2 linked regions of the Callithrix jacchus genome follow. The protein of the gene in region 2 purifies or fractionates together with the protein of the main gene of each other region. This does not show direct contact. Links are inferred from orthologs where the notes say so. Each region holds a gene or a part of one and is shown on either strand. Other genes may lie near its edges. The genes, in order: CUL1 and ZC3HC1.

Region 1 (3,820 bases), about 18 Mb from region 2:
AACACCAAGGTCAAATTCCAATGACTACATAAAAGCATGCAATTGAAGACTGTCTTTACTAATTTAACTAGGATTGGTTCTCAATAAAAACAAAAGGAAAATAAAAACCAAAAAAGACAAGCAAATTAATCAACTATGGTGTATTTTTAAAGTTAAAAAAAAATGACATTAGAAACCTAGAGTAGTCGTACAGTTTCTGTAGCTCAGATCAGTCTCAATCACATGAGACAGTAAAATATTTTAGAAACACTAAGGTGGTTCACTCTTCAAAGCCATCCATGGAAACACAAGCCAAACATTCTCAAATGTTTCCACTAAAACTCCTAATAGAGAAAAGTGAACACAGACCCAGGGAATTTGAACTGGCTAAAATTTGCAGAATATTTTCAAGGGTCATGTTTTATCTCAATACTGTTCTACTTCCTAATAGAATGTTTGTTTTGATGTAAACATAAATGCTCCCTAAGTTACTAAGATTTGCCACCCTTTATCCTGTGGTTTTACATCCTCCCAGGCATACACTGGAGGTTCTGTGGGACACATATTTGTAATACCAAATATATCAGCCTTGCTCTTTGCCACACACTACTCTAAGCACCTTTTTACTAATAAATATCTCATGTTAAACTTTTTAAATACTAAAGCCCACTTAATCTTCACTATTACCTATTATTATTCTCATTTTGCAGATAGGGAAATTGAGGAAGAGAAGCCTTAAGGTCATCCCCCTAGTAAGTGGCAGGGTGGGGATTTAAAACTGGACTCATAGCTCAGTCTGAGATGCAAGGCTATAGGATGAGAGCAGAATTACATGGTCAAATGCCAATTTTATGCTTAAAGACTCTGCATTATCAATTTTCAGAATGTGATGGAAGTCATGTTTGGTGAGATCTAAGTGGATTTGGGCCAAACCTTTAACTCCTCTAGAAATGAATCCCCTCTATGGGAACCAGGATATAGGAAGCACACTGCTTCCTTGAAGACAGGGCTCATGCTAGATTGAAAGCATCCAGGCCACTGGAAATCCCTGCTCCTCAACTGTCTTTGGTGTCAGGCCTGGTTTTAAAAACAGATTTACCTGTTCTGGGAGTGCTTGTGTAGCTCTGCCCTAAAACACTCGTTTCCTTGCCCTAGCCCACTGCTAATTCATCACGGTGGACAAAAGGAGATGACCACAATTCTCTAATAAACCCTGTTCAAAAAGAATAGGTACCACTGTCGTGGATGTGCATTTAGATAAGAGGTCTTTAGGGACATCTAGTTTCTAAAGAATCACCATATATAGCAGAGTTTAATAAAGAGGTATGTTTAGGCAAACAGCACTGTCATATTAAACAATGAAATAACAGGCAATGCTAACATTCAAAACAGACGATGTTTCAAAAGTTCATTTGTTAGGCAGTTGTTTGAAACTCTGGGTGAGCTGGTTAGGTTCCAGATCAGCATACAAAAGTCAATTTGGCCCAGCATTATACACAAGGAACTATTAATATTCCAAGTATAATACTCTGAATAGTTCCATTTTTGTTAGATTTTGAGATATCAGAAATTTGTCAAGGACTTTCAACTTCCAACTTCTAAGCCCATTTATAACCACTATCTCCCATAGGAAAATGTATTCAGGTCACCACAAACAAGCCAGATATGACTTTCTCTATGAGGTTAGAGCAGAGTTGTTACTTTTAATTGACTTTCCATCTCAGCATTTGGAAAAGGGATTCCGCAGTCCATTTATGCTCCAAGTAAACAGGGAATAAAGGGGAAGCAGGTGTCATGCTTGGAAAGATCCAGATTCCCTGGAGATCTCCTAGTGTAAGGGTCCTCAACCCCTGGGCTGTGGGCCAGTATGGGTCTGTGGCCTGTTAGGAACCAAGCCGCACAACAGGAGGTGATCAGCAGATGAGTGAGCATTACACCTAAGCTCTGCCTCCCATCAGATCAGGGGCAGCATTAGATTCTCATAGGAGTTCGAACCCTATTGTGAGCTGCACATGCGAGGGATCTGTGTGCATGCTCCTTTGATCTGAGGTGGAAGAGTTTCCTCCCAAAACCATCCCCCTTTTCTCCACACCCCGCTCCCCTGCCGTCTGTGGTGCCAAAAGGGTTGGGGACCGCTGTCCTACCACAGCTAGCTCAAGGGTCAGCAAACTATAGCCTGTAGGCCAAATGCTGCCTGCCTTTTTCTGTAAATTAAGTTTTACTGGAACCCAGCCACACTCATTTGTGGACATATCCCACTGGCTGCTTTAGTGCTGCAATGGCAGAGCTGAACTGCTGCAAAAGAGATCACATAGCTCACAAAGCCTAAAGTATTTCCTATCCGGTCCTTTACAGGATAAGTTTGCTGACTCTGACTCCAGACCTAGGTCATTCCTTAGAGCCTAAATCCAGACATCTATGTTTCTAAGAAAGAGAAACAAAGAGCAATTCCACTAGATCTTGATTATCAGCTGGGCGTGGTGACTCACATCTGTAATCCCAGCACTCTGGGAGGCTGAGGTAGGAGGATCACTTGAGCCCAAGAGTTTGAGACCAGCCTGGGCAACATAGCAAGATCCTATCTACAAAAAAAAAAAAAAAAACCACAACACAACAACAACAACAAAAAAAACAATTAGCTGAGTCCCATTACTTCTGGAGGCTGAAGTGGGAGAATACCCTCTCATATTAGAATTTAAATCCTACTTGCAGAAGAACCTCTCCTCTATATAATCCTGAAAGCTATGTAATAGATTCTTAGGGGCATTTTAGAAGCAAAAAAGCAAAAACTTCAAGTTTGCAAATCTGAGAACATTTGTTTCTTAAAATTTTCTCATTGACATGATTGTGATGTCCATTATATAAATCCACATTCTAGGAGAAACAGTTAAAAAAAAGTCCTATAGCTATTATGGCTACATCTTTAGAACAGCAATGAGAACTCTTAGTCATGATTACCAATTTCTCCTGGAGAATTAGGAGAAGCACTTGCACCTGATAAAGACACTCTAGGAAAACAATGCCCAACAAATGACTTGTAAAGAAAGCTCTATGTGCTAAAAAGAATTCACTTGAGTTGCAATGATTTTAACTTAAGTCTACTTAAAGTACTATATTTAAGCTTACCTTTTTCATATATTCAGTAACTGGGTTCTGCTGCAAGAATTCAGTACTCTCTCTGGTATAAAATCTCTCTGTGTCAGCCAAAAATTGAGATTCAAAGGATTCTTTATACACTGTTAACGTAGGGCCCTTTGCAAATGCATCATCTTCATTCAGCCCCAATTCCACTAGAAACGAATATGAGCTATATTTCAATTACCCTATTTTTTTGGTTATATTTCACAGAATATACTTAGGTGTAGCATTCAGTTTAAGATATGTTTAAAAGGTAAATGTGAAATGGCAGGACATAAGTAACTCTTACTCACTAGTATTAAAATACACTATTTTAATAAAATAAAAAAGGAAAAAAATCCAAGATGTATAAAAAGCAAGTAATTCTGACCCATGGCCAGGTATGCTTCAAAATCATGATGAAGTTCCTTTAGAGAACTTTTATACTTCCAAAAGCAATAAAAATAATTTTAAATTTGCAAAGAAATACAATGCTACCCAAGTTTTTAAGACATTGTATTACTTCATCAGTTTCTCAATCTCAATTTTTCAAGCTGATATAGATTTCTGGTTATCATTGAGCTCAATTATTGACACTCTAACATATCCAGTGAATTCACTGAGACCAGAAAAGAAAATAATTAAAATGTCTATTTCATCAAAATTTCCTTAAGGCACACGGATCAAACAGCTTTTATGAGTAAAATCAAACAAAGTCACATTG
Region 2 (3,820 bases):
ATTTTTAAGAAGGAAAAATAGGAAGTTCTTTTCTATTTTTAGAAAGGAAGAAAAATCCGCTTAATTGGTAAAAACTACCATAGGAAACACCAGCTGGAGTCCTTAAGGCCCCCCATGTTGCTATTTCCATTCCAGCTGCTCAATTTGGCAGAGACTTCCACTATCCTTAATCTACCAAAGAGAGCATATTTAAAATAAGTCAAGATTGGTTCTGACAGTAAATAAATCTTGATTTATTTTAAATATGCTCTCTTTGGTAGATTAAGGAATGTTTTTCATGTAAAGGGAAAAGGTTTAAGGAGGGACAGGAGAAATTTTTAAAACATGCCTGCAAAACAGTCTCACCATAGAGAGCACACTAAGAACCCCAGGTCCTTCTATGGGAAATACATGAGAGATGATGAAGCATGAAGCTGGGGTCCTGAGATTGGAACACAAAGGCTCTGACAGGACATGGTTCCCGTCCACTGGACTGTTCCAGAAATTGGATGAGATGAAACATACTCACAAGACATTACACTTAGTCATTTGGAAATATGACACTTTGAGAAAACTCTCTTTTTCATTTCTGTCTAGTTCCTCTTTGGAACCCATGCAGCTCTGCCTGATAACATGTTCGCAGTGTATGAGGAAGGTGGGGCTCTGGGGCTTCCAGCAGATTGAGTCGTCCATAGCTGATCTGGACACATCATTTGGCCTGACCAGCTCCCCTATCCCAGGGCTTGAGGGGCGGCCAGAGCGCTTCCCTCTGGTGCCTGAATCTCCTCGGAGGATGATGACCCGGAGCCAGGATGCCACTTTCTCCCCAGGCTCAGAGCAGGTATGCACTTAGCTTGTTTGGGGTGGACTTTTTTTTTTTAACTGTCTTCTGAAGTGAATGAATTGAACTGGGGTGGACTTTGAAACAACATTCTTGGCAAAAATGTTGTTGCTAGAAAGTTGGAAATTAATTTAGGGAGATAGGCTTCACTTTGCACTACACTGGTTACAATGCCACGTGGTGTTTCTGTTCACTAATGGAGAAGCTAAATTCAGCCAGATGTGGTGGCTCATGGTGTAATCCCAGCACTTTAGGAGGCTGAAGCAGGCGGACCACTTGAGGTCAGGAGTTTGAGACCACACTGGCCAGTATGGTGAAACCCCATCTCTATGAAAAATACAGAAATTAGCCAGGCATGATGTGGGGCCTGTAGTCCCAGCCCTTGGTAGACTGAGGCAGGAGAATCACTTAAACCTGGGAGGCAGAGGTTGCAGTGAGCAGAAATCACCCCGCTGCACTCCAGCCTTGGTGACAGAGCAAGACTCTGTCTCAAAAAAAAAAAAAAAAGATTAAATAAAGAAGTATCTCTGACCATGATCATTAATATCATTTTCGTACTTCCATTATCTCCCCTTTCCTTCAGGCTGAAAAGAGCCCTGGTCCCATTGTCTCTCGAACTCGGAGCTGGGACTCCTCCAGTCCTGTTGACCGTCCTGAGCCAGAGGCTGCTAGCCCCACCACCAGAACCCGCCCAGTGACCCGAAGCATGGGAACAGGAGACACCCCTGGCCTGGAGGTACCATCTAGCCCTCTTCGGAAGGCCAAGCGAGCTCGCCTCTGCTCCTCCAGCAGTTCGGTGAGTCCACCTCGCATCTAGCAGTGGCTGAACATAGACAGCATGTTGGGATTTCCCTGGGCAGCTTGGAGAAGCAGGCATGAGCCCTTCCATGGTCCAGTGCAAAAAGTAGACCATGTGACTAAGTTTAAAGTTGGGTGACCAAAGGGAAAAAATGTCAGTCATTTGCTCCTTTGGGGTAGCTTCTGGAGAAATAATAGATATCTCAGGCAAATGGAGCAGCAGTGTGATACGGGGACAAACCTGATAAGGCAGTGGTCTCCAACCTTTTTGGCACCAGGGACCGTTTTTGTGAAGACCATTTTTCCACGTACCGGAGTTTAGAGGATGGTTTGGGGATGATACAAGCACATTACATGTATTGTGTACTTTTTATGTAATGAAATAGTTATACAACTCACCATAATATAGAATCAGTGGAAACCCTGAGCTTGTTTTCCTGCAACTAGATGATCTCCTCTGGGGTTGATGGGAGACAGTGACAGATCATCAGGTGTCAGACTCTCATAAGGAGCCAGCAGCCTAGATCCCTCAAGTGTGCAATTCACAGTAGGGTTCCTGCTCCTATGAGAATCTAATGCCGCTGCTGATCTGACAGGAGGTGGAGCTTAGGCAGTAATAAAGGATGCGGAGTGGCTGTAAATACAGATGAAGCTTTCCTTGCCTGGCTGCTGCTCACCTCCTGCTGTATGGCCTGGTCCCCGTCCATGGCCTGGGGGTGGGGTATCCCCTATCCCTTGTGATAAGGTATAGTTTGTTTAACACGAAAGGAGTGAAAAAATAAGGAAAATATCTTGGCAGAGTTTAAAGGAGAGCATAAACACTTGAAGTATGGGTAGTTGTGAGATTCTGGATTTGATGACTAATAGCAGTGCCTCCCTGAACTTACATAGCATCTGCCCATGAATGCTATTTCTTTTTCTCCTTCCTCAGGACACATCTTCCCGAAGCTTCTTTGATCCCACCTCTCAGCATAGAGACTGGTGCCCTTGGGTGAATATCACACTTGACAAAGAAGGCAGGGAGAATGGTGGAACTGAACCAGATGCTAGCGCCCCAGCAGAGCCAGGCTGGAAGACAGTGCTGACCATCCTGTTGGCCCACAAACAGTCTAGCCAGCCAGCTGAAACAGACTCTGTGGTGAGATAAGCTATTACCTTGTGCGTGGACAGCCCTTGCTGTTTATGGGAGGAGGAGCAGAGGCTGGTCCTATAATTAGCACCCTGCCTGCCCTCAGCTTTCATATGTCAAGTTATTTCAGTTTTTTTGTTTGTTTGTTTGTGAGACGGAGTTTTGCTCTTACTGCCCAGGCTGGCATGCACTGACGTGATCTCTATCACTGCAACCTCTGCCTCCTGGGTTCAAGTGAGTCTCCCGCCTCAGCCTCCCAAGTAGCTGGGACTACAGGCACCACACCCAGCTAATTTTTTTTTTCCTTTTTTTTCTTTTTCCTACAAACTACACAAAGACGTTTTTGTTTTTTTGAGACGGAGTTTTGCTCTTTTGCCCAGGCTAGAGTACAGTGGCACAATCTCAGCTGACTACAACCTCCACCTTCTGGTTCCAAGCGATTCTCTTGCATTAGCCTCCTGACTAGCTGGGATTACAGGTGCCCGTCACCATGCCCAGCTAATTTTTGTATTTTTAGTAGAGATGGGGTTTCACCGTGTTGTCCAGGCTGTTCTCAAACTTCTGACCTCATGATCCACCGACCTCAGCCTCCTAAAGTGCTGGGATTACAGGCGTGAGCCACTGTGCCCGGCTAATAGGTCAAGTTAGACTCATTTTGCTTTCATCCTTGGGAATAGGCGTAGAACTGGTTTGTCTTTCTGCACTTTAGCATATGGCATTCCATCAAGTTCTGATAAATTCTTTTGTTCTCTTAAATAAAATGACTCCAAGTAGAAAAGGAGTACAGAAACAGAAATAGATGAATAGGCAGCTGCTCCAGCCTCATGTTGCAGACAGTTGCTTTTTCTTTCAGTTGCCATCACTTGCACCTGGCCAGTTAACTTAGCTGTTTGGAGCACTGGACTCTGTCACCAAGATGATGGCTTCATTCTGCACGCTGGCCACATTACTTTACTCTGTTCCACAGCCCAGACTGTGACTCTACTAGCCATTGCAGCCATGACTGCTGTGGGTTACAAATGTGGGTGTCGACTGAGAAGAAAAGTCAAGTGTTTGCTGTGTGTAAAGATTGG

Evidence for each region.
Region 1: the proteins of ZC3HC1 (region 2) and CUL1 purify together in Homo sapiens (affinity purification with western blotting; 3 studies listed by BioGRID, with this or other methods). This does not show direct contact. The link is inferred for Callithrix jacchus from reciprocal best matches to the Homo sapiens genes ZC3HC1 and CUL1.

Annotation. Positions count from the first base shown.
Region 1 is NC_133512.1:98,959,304-98,963,123, forward strand, and holds part of CUL1 (cullin-1), read right to left. Parts: intron 3,270-3,820; coding exon 3,106-3,269; intron 1-3,105. UniProt on the Homo sapiens protein: Core component of multiple cullin-RING-based SCF (SKP1-CUL1-F-box protein) E3 ubiquitin-protein ligase complexes, which mediate the ubiquitination of proteins involved in cell cycle progression, signal transduction and transcription.
Region 2 is NC_133512.1:117,183,075-117,186,894, forward strand, and holds part of ZC3HC1 (zinc finger C3HC-type protein 1), read left to right. Parts: intron 1-576; coding exon 577-820; intron 821-1,403; coding exon 1,404-1,616; intron 1,617-2,549; coding exon 2,550-2,756; intron 2,757-3,820. UniProt on the Homo sapiens protein: Required for proper positioning of a substantial amount of TPR at the nuclear basket (NB) through interaction with TPR.